Tamandua tetradactyla: one gene and its partner. The protein of the gene in region 1 binds, or shares a complex with, the protein of each later gene. Links are inferred from orthologs where the notes say so. Each region holds a gene or a part of one and is shown on either strand. Other genes may lie near its edges. The genes, in order: SYMPK and SSU72.

Region 1 (7,561 bases):
TTCATAGGTCAAAAAATGTTTGAATATTAGAATTCACATCTATTTACTACATATCATCATGTCTAAGAGAAATTGTCGTTTGTTGGTTGTACCATTATTTTATGTATCAATAAGAATGGAAAAATAAAACACTGTCAATTACAATTGTTAGACACCATCTACTGTAAAATATATCCCATTCTCAGAGGTATTGAAATGGCAGAAAATGTGAATCTTAGCACTATAAAGTATAATAGATACTTCTCTCTCTCTCTCTAAATAACCCTCTATATATTCTTTCTTCTTAATCAACAAAGGGTTCTTGGCCACTGCTCTGCCAGTTACTTTGCTGGGGCTGTCTCCTTTAATCTTCCTTATATCTTGAGGGAAGGCTGCTTTTATAATCCCATTTTATAGTTGAGGAAGCTGAGGTCCAGGGGCAGAATTGGGATTCTGAATCTAGGCAGCCTGGTTCCAGAACTTGTGATCTGTATCATGCTATAAAAGCAGTGACCAAGACAGACAGAAATGTCTGCCTTCTTGGAGTTGATAGTCTGGCGGGAAAGACACACTGAATAAGTTAAACCTGGAGAATATGAAGTATCTCACGTGGTGGTTTCTCTCTTTCGGCAGCTATCCACCCCTCTCACCTCCTCCCTTCCATCTACTCTCCCCCCTCCTCCACCTGCATCTTTCTCTGCCCCGCTCCCTTCCCCAGGGAGCCTGGGAGGGAGGTGGTCCCACCACTGGCTGGAGTCCCATGGCACTGGGGTGCTGTGAAATCTCTGGCTGATGCCACCTTTGCTGTGAGACTGTGGATCTCATCTCATCCTCTGCACTGTAAGCATTTGCAGGCCCCCAGGGTCAAAAAGAAAAAAGACTTGCCCAGGACCATTCAGGGAGTCAGAGATAGGTGACACCCAACCCCAGTTGAGAGGAAACCCTCCCTTCTCTCCTTCCCACTTCCAGGTTGCTGTTATCTCTTGTGTTTGTCTGTATGTCTTCCCACTGGGGCGGCTGGTTCTGCCCCCTCCCCAGATTAAGGAAAGAGATGAAAGGAGAAGGTGATGGATTCAATGGGATCAGAAAGTTGGGGAAGGATTCCCAAATGCCTTTCCCACTCTCACTTCTCCCAACTCAGTCGAGCTGTCTGGTATTGCAGAGTAAAACAGAGTAGGACCCCAGGGCACTCCTTTCCTGGCTCCCCACCCAGCCGGAAGTCCTTCTGGAGGTCTGACCTCAAGCACTCCAGCTGCTCTAATCCACCCTAGGCTTTCCCACGCCCCAGGGCAGGGATGAACCCCCAGTGTCCGGGTCTGAGCCGGATCTCCCTGCCACCAGGGCGGGGTTGAGATTGGGGGGAAGCCCTCCGGGGACCTGCACCCCCTCTCCAGGAGGCTGGAATTTCTCACCTTTCATTTCCTTATTGTCTCTGGGGGAGGGTATGACAAAGAGCAGAGGGAGGTAGTGTGAAATCAGAAAGAAGCCTGGTATCCAGCCCCAGTCCTAGCCCTGACATCACAGTATTCCTCTAGGCTTGGGTTTTTCCATCTCTAAAATGGGGGACCAGTTGGACCATCTGATCAGTAAGAACCTGAGGTTAACAGGGATACCCCAGGGTGACAATTGTCCAAGTTCTCTCCTGATGAATGGACAGCCTGGGGTGTCAACATTATCCTAACAAGAGGGTATAGTGCTGGGTGTGTGCAGCTGTTTCTCCACCCCCATGGTTCTGACCCAGAGAAGAACTGGGCTCACCTGATGGAAGGGCTGCAGACACCCACAGACAGTATCCTCCAAACAAATTCCAGGCCCCTGTAAGTCAATTCTTTCAAGATATGCCCTCAAGTGTTGATCTGATTCCTATTTTGAACACCTCTAGACTGTTCTTTGATTTTGGAATCATCTATTGTCCATACACATTGTCCCTTAAACTTGAATCCATTCAGATTGAAGCCCAAATTTTGACTCCTCCGGTCCAGAAACCCATGAGTTTTTTTAAATGTGCCCACAAAACATTTATTTGTAGGTGGTTTCCTTGAACCATGTCCCCAGACTCAGCTCTCCAGGGGTCCAACTGGGATACCCCTTCACTGCACCCCCCTCACACTGTCCAAGAGCCTCCACCTTCCATCCTAGTCTCTGTTTTCCCCATTTCACAACTGACACCTCTGGCCGCCCTGCCTCCCCCTCTCAGCCATCCCAATCCCTTCCCCAGCTGGCCCTTCCTCACCCTGCGTGCACCTCACCCTCCACAGCCCCAGGATTGGGCCCTCCCAGGTCCCTGGCTAACCTTCGCAGGCCAGGGGATCCAGGAATCCCAACCTACAGTGTCAAACTCCAGACCCAGGGATAAGGCACACCAGGGATCCTGTAACCTCAGGTTTCAGCTCTTTCCTTGGAGAAACCAGCCATTCCAACCACATAGTCCCCTTTCAGGTTAGGAACCCAAGACTCCAGACTCCCATAACTCTCACACCACGACCTCCTCCTCCAGACCAAACAATATTGACTATAAAGAAAGTGTGCTAAGGAGTCCTTGAGCAAGTGGAATGGGAGTTCAACTTGGGGAAGGACTTCCTGTCAGCTGGAATCCCCCATCCCCAAATTCATCTCAGAGGTCTTGTCTGAGATGGGACTGGATGAGAACCTTAACAATTGCTGGAGATTGCTGGGGATGGGGGTTTAACCTGAAGGCCCCCAAGAGGGGAGTCCCGGCTGAGGGTGTCTAATAAGAGTTAAAGTACTAAAATTCAGCCAGGACGGGGTGAGGATCATGAAGAGGAATAGGGGGAGGAGACTGTATTTCCCACTACCCCCACTAGTGCTGATGCCCACATCTCCTAGTCTCTAACCTGCCTATTATCTCAGACCCCTCCACATTGAAGCTTCATCTCTGAGTGCCTCCATCTCTTACCCTGGAGCGCCAAGCCCTATACCTGACCCTATCTTAGAGGGCCCAGAACCCCCATCTTTAACACCATATTCTAACCCTCAGCTCATTCCTCACTCCCCTCTCACAGCTGCACTGGCTTCCAGTTCCTTGATGACAACACTTACACTCTTTTAGTCCCTATATTTCCCTCAACTTTGAGCCCCATTTCCAACCTCCCAGCTCTGTCCCCTATCTTAGAGCTCTGATTCCTATTTTGGGTTTGTTGACTTTGGATCCCGAATACCCAGCCCTCACGTTTAAGCTAAGACCAGATCCTTGTCAAACTTTTCTCGACTCCCATTTAAGCCCTCACCCCCCAACTCGCCTGTCCAGACCGTTTACTCACGCTCTGTCCCTGCCTCCCACACCTGGTCTTCGTGTCCCTGGTTCCACGGCTCCCAAACTACATGCCTCGGCCCCCATTTGAGCCCCAACCCGGGTCTCTAACCCTCACTTCCCGCTCCACCATCCCCGAGGACACACCTCGCCCGCCTCGGGGTAGTAGCTCCACTCGGCCAGGTCGTGGGCTTCCATCTTCACCGAGCCCAGCATCCCCGGGGCTTGCGCCCCCACCTGCCCCCGCTCGGGCCCCGGGGAACCGAGAACTTCGGAGCTATCAGCGGATATGGCGGGAGTTCCGACCGGCGCCCGCCCGTCTGACCGCCCGGGGTCCCCGCCGTCCCGAACGCGCCGCTGGAGGTGGCCTCGCTTTATAGCCGGGACAACCCCCCCCCGTACCGCCCCCACCCCCGCCGTTCGCCCGCCCCAGGCTCCCCTCCCGCCTCCCCAGGACGGCGCGCTCGGACTAGGGCGCCCCCTGCGGGATTGAGAGGACCTCAGGCGCCGGGAGCCGCAGCCGGGGGCGCGAGAGCAGGTGAAGGCTGAGGAGTGAGCTACTGGTGACAGGCATTGCTGATAGGAAGGGTCCCGAAGGCAGAACTCTGGGGCCCTACTGCACCAGGGGTTTTCATTATCTCGACATGAAAGGGCGAATAGCCAGAAACTCGCGTGGCAGTCCCGGAGGAAGGGGGCGCAGCGTCCAGGGGTCCCTATATACGATTGTAAGGACCCTTAAGAGTCCTTGAAACCACACTCCCAATGGACGAAGGGTAGATTGGGGCTGCCGACGACTGGAAATGCTCCGGTCTGTGTAAAACGTCCAGGCCAAAGATGGAGGAAATAGGGATCTCTTTTCAAATCCCTCTAGGGCAACAGACCACCTTCAACACCTAGGGAGCTTCGCCTTCGGGGCTCTCCACTCCCCGCGACACTAGCCGTCCAAGGACTCAGGACCACCGTGAACTCCATTTCCCAGAAGCCTCTTCCCCCCTTTCCGCCCCGAGCCTCCGCCACGGGACTACATTTCCCAGAAGGTATGTCTCTCCGAGACAGGAAATGAGGGGCCGTCCCGGCGAATGCCGGAGGGAGGCGGAAGTCCGAGGGCGCCGCACGAGACAGGGGCAGACACGGGCCGCGGTCTGGACTGCATTTCCCGGCGGCCCTGCGTGCGCAGCGCGTGCGCAGTGTCACGGCGGCGAACGGAAGATGGCGGTAGCGAAGTCTGTGTGAGGCGCTGCTGAGGGGCCGCGAGGGGGACTGAGGCCGGAGCCGCGGTGAGCGGGGAACGGCGTGGGGACCCGGGGACGATGGGAGGAGGGACTCTGAGAACACTGGGAGAAGGGCGCAGAGAAGAGAGGGGAGCAGGGCGTCCCGGACCTCAGTATCATCCCCTGCTCAGGACCCTTCCGTGGTTCCCCAGTGCCCTCAGGGCAAAGTTCCAACGTGGCCCCCAAGGAGCGTCCGCTCCGCCAACCGCGCCAGTCTTGTCTCTGCCTCTTTGCTCACTCCCCACGCTTTGAAAGCTGCACTGGCCTGTCGGTTCCTCAAATTTGCTGTGCGCCTCCCTAAGGGTTTTTGCATTTGCTGCCTGTCTGCCCTTAACATCCTTTTACCCATTCATATAAGCTAACTCCCATTCATCCTTCAGCCAACATCACTTCCTCTGAAAAGCCTCCTTTTCTCGCTCCCCGCCCTCCAATCCTGTTAAAGGATCTCATAGGTCCTTGGTCATTTCCTTCATGTCACGTGTGTTATTAGACCTTTATTTAAGTAACTACTGATGATGTTTGTGTCCGTGAGCTCCACGAGGGCAGAGACAGGGTATATTTAGGTCACCCGTGTGTACCCAGCACAGCTCAGGTCGCACGAGAGACGCTGAGTAATGTTTGCTGAATGAATGAAAGATATACCGTGGGCCACTCTGTGGCGTGTACGGGGAAGCCCTCATACTCCCAGATGGGAGTAGGGCAGTGGTACTCGGTGAGGACTGCACTGGAAGGGAGGGGGAAGCAATGATGTGGGTAGAGGAGGAGATTCACTGTGTTCTGCTAGGTGGATGGGTGGCCATGGCCCTGGGTTTTTGTGAGCTGACCTAGGGATGGAGAACCAATTCCTTTCTGAGAGACAGCGCTGATGAGGACGGATTCTGCAGCTACACTGCTGGCTCTTCTTCACTTTACAGGCTGTGTGCCTTTAGTCAAGCGATTTTATCTCCTTGACCTTCAGTTTCCCCATGTGTAGGATGGAGATTAAAATAGAACCTACCACAGAGGGTTGTTTTTTTGTGTGAGGTTTAAACTAATTAACAGACATCACTTCCAACAACTGTTGAAAAATTGGGCCCTGCATGTTAAATGTTCAATAAATAACAGCTGTTACTATTTTTCAAGCGTTCCAGGGCCGAAGGGCAGGGGATGTGAGCCCACTGATTGGGAATACTCTTTGATAGGAGTCAGCATTCACTGAACAGATATTTATTGAGTACTTACTGGATGCCAGGCATTGTTTTACATGCCAGGGATATAGAAAATGAGCAAACCGACCAAAAAGAAAAAAAGTATCTCCAGCCACTTGAATTTCAACAAGCATGCCAAGGACATGCTGTGGGGAAAGAATAGTCTCTTCAACAAATGGTACTGGGAAAACTAGGTGTTCACATTCAGTATAATGAAGTTGGACTCCCTACCTCATGCCTTAGACAAAAACAAATCTAAAATATATCTAGGACCTAAATGTAAGAGCTAAAACCATAAAACTCTTAGAAGATAACATGGGACAAATCTTCCCAACTTTGGATTCCACAGTGGTGTCAGATAGAACACCAAACACACGTGTGACAGAAGAAACAATAATTTTTCATCAAAATGAAAAAATTTTTGCTTCTTAGGACATTGTCAAGAAAGTGAAAAGACATCCTACAGAACAGGAGGAAGTAGTCACAAATATATATGATGAGGACTAAATATCCAGAATATATAAAGAACTCTTACAACTCTACCACAAAAAAAGAGACAAACAGCCCAATTTAAAAATGGACGAAGGACTTATACATTTTACCAAAGAGAATGTAAAAATGGGCAATAAACATGAAAAATGCTGAGCATTTTTAGCTATTAGAGAAATGCAAATCAAAATAGCAACAAGGATGGCTATTACTAAAAATGTGGAAAATAACTTGAGAAATTGTAATCCTAATACATTGTTGGTCGTAGTGTAAAATGGTGCAGCTACTGTGGAAACCAGTATAGCTGTTCCTCAGAAAGCTGAATTAAAATTAACCATATGACTTGGCAATTCCACTCTTAGGTATATACCTGAAAGAATTAAAAGCAGGGATTCAAGCAGGTGTTTCTACACCAGTGTTCATCACATTATTCACAGTGGCCAAAAGGTGGTAGCAATCCAAAGTGTCCATCAGTGGATGAATGGATAATGGAAATCTGATCTCTCCATACAGTGGAATATTATTCAGCTGTAAAAGGAATGAAATTCCAATACATGGCACAACATGGATGAACCTTGAAAATGCCAAATGAAATAAGCAAGGCACGTAAGGACAAATCCTGTATAATTTCATTTATATGAAATATGTAGAAATGGCAAATTCATAGAGACAGAAAGTAGATTAGAAGTTACCAGGGTGTGGAGTGGGGGGCGGTGATGTTTGGAAATTTTGAAAAAATAGAAAAGCCTTTGCCCTCATGGAAGTTTTAAATATGTAGTATATTGATAATAAAGCCTATGGGGAAAAGTAAAGCAACACAGGGAAGTAGGAAAAGTGAACTGAAATTTGAAACAGGGTAGTCAGGGAAGACCTCACTGAAAATATTTGAGTGGAGACCTGAAGAAAATGAGGAAGGGGGTTCGGATCTGGGGGGAGGAGAGTGTTCATGGTATAAGGAAAAGAAGCACCAAGGCATTGAGGAATGGATGTGCTTGGCATGTTCGGGGAATAGCAAGGAGGCGAGAATGGCTGGAGCTGAGAGGACAGAGTGGGAAATGAGGGCAGAGATTGGAGGGACCAGATCATATAAGGTCTTTTAGGTCTTGGTGGGGATTTTGGCTTTGACTCTGAGCAAGATGTGGGGGTGACAGGCAGCAAGGAGGGTAAGGAGGAGGCTGTCATTTTCATTCAGAAAACATCTATTGAATAGCTCATGTCTATAGTATATGAAGTTCCTTTTTTTCATTAATTTTTAGTTTTTTTTAAAATACCAAAAAACACCAAACAAATGCAAACATTCGTAACTTTTGATCATTCCGTTCTACATATATAATCAGTAATTCACAGTATGATCACATAGTTGC
Region 2 (8,100 bases), on another chromosome or scaffold:
ATGGACCAACTACGCATGTTCACTTAACTACATTCCTTCTGGTCTATTTCATTCAAGTTTTCTTTTGCATACGTTACGTAGTTTTAGTTGTAACTAAACTGCACGCACAATTTTCCAGCTTTTCCCTTATGATGAGCATTTTCCTACGTTTTTTATAATCATTTTTAAGGCCTATACAAGTCTCTAAATTTGACTTTTTATAAATTCTCCTAGCTTCTAACAGAAAACTATCTTATATTACCTAAAGATGCTTTTAAAAGCCTGTAAATAATCCAAATAGGAGAAAAAGCAGATAAGTGAATAGGTAGTTTTCCAAAATGAAAATCACATGTGATATTTCAATCTTAATAGCAATTTTAGAGCTAAAGCAAGGGTGAGATCCTTTTTACCCCACCAGTCTGCAAAGATAAAAATAATGCCCAGGTTATGAGGAAATGGAAACTCTGTACTTTTCTGGAATGCAGTTAACAAATTGCACGAAAATGTAGAACATGTCAGCCTTTTAACTCAGCAACTCCACTTTTAGGAAGTGACCCCAAGGAAATAATCAGAAGAGGGTGTTGTAAAGATATTTATACACCACCAGGATGTTGACACTTTTAAGACTGAAAAGTAGGGAACAGCCTACTTATGGGGGATTAGTTACAAAATTAATGGCTGCTTAGGGCTCCTCTGGATCACTGTGCCATAGTTTCTGACCACTCAATTATTTGCTATGAATAAACAGATTAAAAAAATATGTTCCTAGTATTAAGTGAAGAGATTACAAAACAGTACTTTGATTCCCCATAAGTGCACATGTGCTTAAGAAAGATAGCCAGAAGTATACCAAAAATGGTATCCTACAAGTAATCTTTATCTTCTAGCGTATTTTCAACAGTAATTTTTGTAGAAGTAAATATCTTTTTAATTAAAATAAGCTATTTCAACAGGAAAACACTCTCCAAATATAAGCAACTGAGAAAGTAGAGATGCCTAAGATAACAGGACTTCACAGCACAATGACAGCATTACTCTAAACTTACCTCCTTTTGCCTCACTCTAAGTCTGCTTTTTAGGAGTAAGCTTGGAAGACAGTAAAGCAGGTAGGAGGACACCTAAGAATCCCCTCTTGGTGATTACTTGGAAGGTAATACGCTCTGCGCCCCCATTCCACAAGGGACCCAATGCTGTGCTTGCTACAGCCACTTTCAACTGAACAAGGACTTATCTTGCAGTGAAAGACCCAGGGAAGGCTCAGATTGGCATGCCTTTAAAAGTCACTAAACCCGATTTCATTTTAACAAAGTTGTGAAACGTAAAAATTAAAACTTTGTTTTGTAAGATTTCACTCTTATTTGGCTGCACAGAGCTTTAGAGTAGAAACAGAATCACTAGCCAGACTGGCAGAATGAGGTCTCAGATTACTTGTCATTTCAATTAGAGAAAACAATTTTGTTTCCCTTGGGTAATTTTGTTTTCTAGGGATGCAAACCTTGTGCTTACATTTATAAAACTTTTAAGGGTACTCTCTACAGACAATTGCTGTTTTGGGCTCAGACCCATCACAATTCTAGCAGAACACTCACTTTTCAAAACAACCTTCACACTGATTTGTTAGGTTCAAAGCGTATCACACCCTACAAAACAAATAACATCAAGCAAACACAGTGAACAGTGTGGTAAATGTTAGGAAGAAAAATCCAACCATAAAGTAACTCAGAGTTAGCAGATATAATCAGGGAAAGCTTACATAAATCAACATCCCCATTCATAAAAACAAGGGGGGGGGGGGGGTGGCGAGATTCTAATTTTCCCCGAGGTGCCTAATACCCCATTCGTAGCTGGAAAGTGGTAAGAAAAGCGAGGCACTGTTTTCCTTTAAAGTCCACGTGTGGAAACATAGGGAAAAAAGGGGGTTTCAACTTTGTTCTACTATGGAAGTTGATGTGTACATTTTAACTGTAATGAAAGTGTTTTAGAAAGAAGAAACTTTATCAAACGGGATTCAACTTTTATTTAACACATACAACACAGAGGTCACAAAGGATGAATACTGAAATATACCGAATTCACTTGTGTTCCAGAAATTCCCGATTGAAGGCTTTTATGTGGGGAGGGGTGTGCGATACTTGAAAATGTAGATAGTAGAAAATCCACAAATTCATATGGTGAACAGATTCTTTCCTGCTCTTTTTAAAGAGTCATTCTACCTGAGGCTACGTTGTGTAAGCAATCGTTGGACACTAGTATCGCTCAGACCTATACCTTGCTCTTGACATTCACCGCATCACGTGGAGTATTTTAGAGGAGCCTGCTAGTTCTCAGATAGGCAGAAATGCATGCAAATTGGCTGCAGCCACCACCAGCTTTGCGGATTTACTGGGAACTTTAGAGTTCCGCGACACGTGAACATGTCGGTAAAGAAGCTAATTTCCCGACAGGCTAGCACACGTGCGGGACACGGCGCGCTGGCGAGCGGAGCGGGGCGCGGCGGCCAGAGCGCTGGTGGACTCCTCGCTACGCTCGGCGCCGCGGGAGCCAACGAGCGCGTCAATGAAGCCGCCCCGCGCCGTCGCGAGCCGCGGGCCCTTCGGGCCTCCTTCGGCCGAGGCGCCCTGCCCGGCCAGCGGCAGGCCTGCGGGGTGGCCAGAGCCGGGGCTGCCGCCCGCCGTCCGGCACGGGCCCCCGGGCAAGGGGTGGGCGGCGGGAGGGACAGCCGGTCGGCCGGCGTCCGACGGGGCGCCGGGCTAGGGCGGAGGCTCCAACTACCTGAGGATGTTGTGCGCCTCCATGCTCCGGTTCTGGTTGCTCGAGCACACCACCGCCACCCGCAGCGGCGACGACGGCATGGCGGTGGCGGCACCGTCCGCGGCGGCCGCGACTCTCCCACGCCGGGACTCCCACCCAGCGGTGGCGCTTCCGCGCGAGCAAAATGGCGGCAGCGCAGGCGGAAGTCAGCGATGCGGAAGCGGCGGGGACGTAGCGCGTCAGGACGCGCGGGGCCGGCGGCCTCCTCGCGCCGGCCCAGAGCGCCCGACCCACGGGCAGAGGTGACGCCCCGCCCTTTGGGAGCGCCGGCTTCCCGGGCAGCGCGCCGCTGTCGGCGAGCAGAGGCGTGCTGCGTCCGGCGTCCGCTCCGGGCGTGCGCAGCCGAAGGCCGCGGTCCGCTCAGTGGCTCGCGGGCGTCGAGCCCGGAGCTCCGCGCCGGCGCTCGTGGCGTCACAACGCCCCGCCGTGGTCGCTGGGAGTGACGATGAAGCGCTGCGCCGGCGCCCCTGGCGTCACATCGCCCCCGCCGTGGTCGCTGGGAGTGACGATGAAGCGCTGCGCCGGCGCCCCTGGCGTCACATCGCCCCCGCCGTGGTCGCTGGGAGTGACGATGAAGCGCTGCGCCGGCGCCCCTGGCGTCACATCGCCCCCGCCGTGGTCGCTGGGAGTGACGTTAAAGCGCTGCGCCGGCGCCCCTGGCATCACATCGCCCCCGCCCGCGCAGGCAGTGCCTCCCTAGGCGTCGCGCGGCGTCCGTGACGTCACAGCGTCCCGTCGCCGTCTTCGCCGCGAGGGAGCGAGGTTGGGGTGCTGGTCAGTGTCCTGCCTGCGTTGCCCGCTCTCCTCACGCCGCGCGCCTGAGCCTAGACGCCGCGCCTGCCCGCCTTCTCCGTCGCCTTCCCGCCACGCCAGTCAGGGCCCCAGCGTCCGCTGGCGACCTCGGACGTCGTCGCCCGGCTGCCGGAAGTGATTCCTAGCATGGACTCTCCGAAGCATTAGGAAACAAAGCGCCGTGAGGAGGGCGGGCCTGTGAGAGACGTCCCGGGCTGGAGCGGATGGGCTGCGGCCTGCCGGTGGGCTTGTTGGGAGGCACCGCAGGCTCGCGAGAGCTTGCGGCCCTGGTTCCGTGGGACGGCTCCGCGGTGTGCGCTTCTCGACAGCCACGTCCAGCTGCCGGACGCAGGCGGGCAGCGAGGGGTGTTCGGCTGTGCGGGTGCAACCGAGGGGAGAGGGGCTAGGGACTGGCGACGAGCCTCCGCGGCATTGGAACTGGATGAGACGAGGATTGAGAACAGGAGGAGGTCGCGGCCGGGGCTGTGCGCGCTGAGTCGTCGATCGCAGCGGAGTGGAAGAGTTGTCGCTGGAGCAAAGGGGTGGTCGCGTGGGATGCCGGAAGCGGGATGGGAAGGTAGCCTGTAGGCTAGGTGTGACAGAGTCTTGAATGGAAGACGGCTCCCTGACACAGAACGGTTGGAGTCTCCTGTCGTTGTGCCCATGGAGAAAAAGGCTGAACACCAGGTGCTAAAGATCTCTAGGGACCCAGGGGGCATGGTCAGGGGTCAGTGGATGACTGCAACAAGAAAGCATGTGCTTCAAAGGACATGGAGGATAGATCAATGAGAAGGAATGAGGGCAACTTCCCCGCCTGCTGCATACACAGTAGTATTTCTTATAAGAGAGATCATACGCTATTTGTTCTTATGGTCTGGCATATTTCACCCAGTGTAATGTCTTTAATATTCATCCACTTTGTAGCATGTTCTAACATTTCTAATTTAAGCTGAAATTCCATTGTATGGTTAAACTACATTTTGTTTATCCATTTATCTGTTGGTGGACTCCTCCATACCTTCTTTTTTTTAACCTTTGCACGTGCTGCTTCCACAACTCAAGTTCCCTTCCTAACACCCATCTTCCCCGGGCTGCTTTGCCCGGCCAGTTATCACAGCACAAAAGTCACTGCCTCCAAGAAAGCTTCTTCCCTCCCTCCTCTGTTTCCCTCACTGACTTGGGGCCTTTCCCAGCTCTCCAACTTGCTTCTGTGGTTCTGAACACTAGTGTTCTGCTCCTCGGCCCCACCCCATTCCCAGAATGAATTCTAAAAGGCTAGGGACCTTTTCATCATCATGTGCAATGGCTGCTATATGCTGAAATGGCTTTTTAGAGCCGCTGTCCCTGTGAAGACACTGAGTACTCGTGGAGCACATAGATGAGGGAGAAGGTGCCAGGGAAAGCACCAAGGGTCCTTGCAGGTAATACATGGCCATTCTGCGGAGACGTGGGGGGGTCATGGGTGTTTCATCGCATCTGAGGCCCAGATTTATTCTTCCATTATGATGTGGGGACCCAAGGTAAAATAATATTATGGCTAGTCTAGAATCTCTGGGATCTCCAGTTTCAGCTGACTCTATCCTTTAGGTCCTTTCCACAGTCCTGGGTCTGTGGCCTTCATAAGAAGGAATAACCACCTTTGAATGTACATTCCCAATAAAATGTTGAGACCACACAGCGAACTGCCATAAAGGAAATTTGGCATTTTCAACAAATAGAATCACAAATTCCTCAAGAGCTGGGAATAATAGAACAATCTGAACACTTTAAAACAAGCTTTTGGTCCATGAGTAGTAAAGACAACTTTTTTAACAGCTCCAATGAGCTATACTTGACATATAATAAACGACATTTTAAAGCGTACAATTTGACAAGTCTGTTTGTATCTGTGAAACAATTCTAACATTGGAGGATGAACATACCACTCAGAAATTCTCTCATAACCTTCTATAATTCCTCCCTGCCCTCCCCCTGATCTGAATCCCACTTTCCCAGGCAACCGTTGATCTGATTGCTGCCACTATTTATTAGTTTGCATTTTCTAGAATTTTATATAAACAGAATCAAACAGTATATACTCTTTTTTGATCAGGCTACTATCACTTCAGCATAATTATTATGCGATCCATCCAAGTAGCATGTATCAATGGTTGGTTCTTGTTTTTTATTGCTGAGAAATAATCCATTCTATGATAGGCCGCAGTTTTTCCATGCACACTGTTTATTACTCACCCGTGGAAGGACATTTGGATTTCCAGTTTTGGATTTTATACATGAAGCTCCTGTGACCACCCATATGCAAGTCTTTGTATGGACAGAGGCTTTCATGTCTCCTTGGTTAATAGCCAGGAGGGAAACGCCCGGATGATATGTTTTTGTGTATGCTGAACTCCTCAAGAGACTGCCAAAATGTTCTCCAAAGGAGATGTACTATTTTACGTTCCCGCCAGCACTGTATGAGCATTCTAGTTGTTTCGTGTCCTTGCCAACCCTTGGTATGATTAGTCTTTTTACTTTTAGACACTTTAAGGTGTGGTATCTCATTGTGCGCTCTTTTGTTTGTTTCTTTTTCTTTATTAGAGAAGTTGTGAGCTTTCAGAACAGTCATGCATTAACTACAAGAACCCTATATCATACCTTATTATTTTTTATTAATTAAAAAAATTAACAACAAAACATTAAGATACCATTCCATTCTACATATACAATCAGTAATTCTTAATATCATTACAGTTGCATATTCATCATTTCTTAGAACATTTGTATCGATTTAGAAAAAGAAAAAGGCAACAGAAAAAGAAATAAAACGATAAGAGAGAAAAAAAAGATTATACATACATACCATACCCCTTACCCCTTGCTTTCATTTACCACTAGCATTTCAAACTAAATTTATTTTAACATTTGTTCCCCCTATTATTTATTTTTATTCCATATATTCTACCCTTCTGTTGCTATAGTAGTTAAAAGGAGCATCAGACACAAGGTTTTCACATTCAAAGAGTCTCATTGTGAAAGCTCTATCATTGTTGAATCATCATCAAGAAACATGGCTACTGGAACACAGCTCTACATTTTCAGGCAGTTCCCTCCAGCCTTTCCATTATGTCTTGATTAACAAGGTGATATCTACTTAATGCATAAGAATAACCTCCAGGATAACCTCTGGACTCGGGAGTCTCTCAGCCATTGACACTTTGTCTCGTTTCACTCTTCCCCGTTTTGGTCAAGGTTTTCTTAATCCCTTGATGCTGAGTCTCAGCTCATTCCAGGGTTTTTCTCAATCCCTTGATGCTGAGTCTCAGCTAATTCTAGGATTTCTATCCCATGTTGCCAGAAAGGTCCACACCCCTGGGAGTCATGTCCCACGTAGACAGGGGGAGGGTGGTGAGTTTGCCTGTTGTGTTGGCTGAGAGAGGCCACATCTGAGCAACAGTCTATTTTTAAAAATAGCTGTTCTAATGGGTGTGAAATGGTGTCTCATCGTATTTTGATTTGCATTTCTCTGACAGCTCATCTTTTCATGTATTGGCCAGTTGTATATCTTCTTTGGAGAGATATCTATTCAAGTCTTTTGCCCATTTTTAAATTGAGTTGTTTGTTGTTAAAGGATTTTTTTCCCTATATTCTGGATATTAAGCCTTTATCAGATGTGTGATTTCCAAATATTTTCTCTCTTTGTGGAGGTTATCAGTTTACTTTCATGAAAACTCCTTTGAGGCACAAAAGTTTTGTTTTGTTTTTTGATGTGGTCTCGTTTATCCATTTTTTTCTTTTGTTACTTGTGCTTTGAGTGGAAAATCTAAGAAACCATTGCCTGACACAAGGTCCTGAAGATGCTTCCCCACGGTTTCTTCTAGGTGTTTGATAGTTCGAGCTTTTATATTTAAGTCTCATTGTGGTTTTAATTTATATAGGGACCAATGAAGTGGTGCATATCGTCATATGCATATTTTCCATCTGAACATTCTCCTTGAAGGGAAGCGTCTCTTCAAATCTTTTGTACATCTTTCATTGGTTATTTGCCTTCTTATTGTTAACCTAGTATTTTCTCTCAGTCCGTAGCTTGTCTTTTCATTCTCTTATCAATGCCTTTTGAAGGACAGAAGTTTTTAATTTTTACAAAGTCCAGCTTACCAATTTGTCTTTTATAGGTTGTTGCCACAACATCTGATAGGAAAAAATACACTAGATGGGATGAATTGTACATTAGACATTGCAGAAGAGAAGATGTGTTAAATTGAAGACAAAGTAATAGAACCCATGCAAAAGGAGACAGAAAGAAAGAAGGGGTAAGAATGTGAGCAGTGTGCCAGTGAGCTGCGGGGGAACTTCAGGCAGTCAGATGTGCATGTGATTGGACTCTCCAAAGGAGAGGCGTGCTGGCTGTTTGGGGACTACTCCTGGCCCTGCTCAAGCTTCTGGGATGCTTCCCTGTAATCCTTTTCACTGGGTCTTCTTTTAGCCTCATGTCGTTTCCTCATGCACACGTACTGATGAGTTCTAAGCTACAGATTG

What was found.
Region 2: the proteins of SYMPK (region 1) and SSU72 are in contact, whole or in part, in a crystal structure (PDB 4H3K), measured with the Homo sapiens proteins. The link is inferred for Tamandua tetradactyla from reciprocal best matches to the Homo sapiens genes SYMPK and SSU72. Residues at the interface, in NP_004810.2 of Homo sapiens: Val123, Lys127, Leu131, Gln135, Asp175, Asn176, Asp177, Gly178, Thr181, His182, Lys185, Glu188, Pro204, Arg205, Arg206, Gln207, Ser250, Ile251, Thr254, Thr255, Asn262, Ala290, Ser292, Gln293, Ser295, Ser296, Lys299, Asn300, Leu303, His304; in NP_054907.1 of Homo sapiens: Glu113, Tyr116, Asp117, Val120, Asn124, Glu127, Gln128, Glu129, Thr130, Cys131, Gln132, Pro133, His135, Asp167, Glu169, Asn170, Asp173, Gln177, Glu180, Thr186, Phe187, Leu188, His189, Thr190, Val191, Phe193.

Annotation. Positions count from the first base shown.
Region 1 is NC_135342.1:15,201,590-15,209,150, forward strand, and holds the start of SYMPK (symplekin), read left to right. Parts: upstream 1-4,407; 5' UTR 4,408-4,527; intron 4,528-6,710; exon of another isoform or gene 6,711-6,799; intron 6,800-7,561. Other genes in the region: FOXA3 (hepatocyte nuclear factor 3-gamma), read right to left, coding at 3,398-3,466. UniProt on the Homo sapiens protein: Scaffold protein that functions as a component of a multimolecular complex involved in histone mRNA 3'-end processing. Specific component of the tight junction (TJ) plaque, but might not be an exclusively junctional component. May have a house-keeping rule.
Region 2 is NC_135328.1:223,385,862-223,393,961, reverse strand, and holds the start of SSU72 (RNA polymerase II subunit A C-terminal domain phosphatase SSU72), read right to left. Parts: upstream 3,025-8,100; 5' UTR 2,832-3,024; coding exon 2,752-2,831; intron 1-2,751. UniProt on the Homo sapiens protein: Protein phosphatase that catalyzes the dephosphorylation of the C-terminal domain of RNA polymerase II. Plays a role in RNA processing and termination. Plays a role in pre-mRNA polyadenylation via its interaction with SYMPK.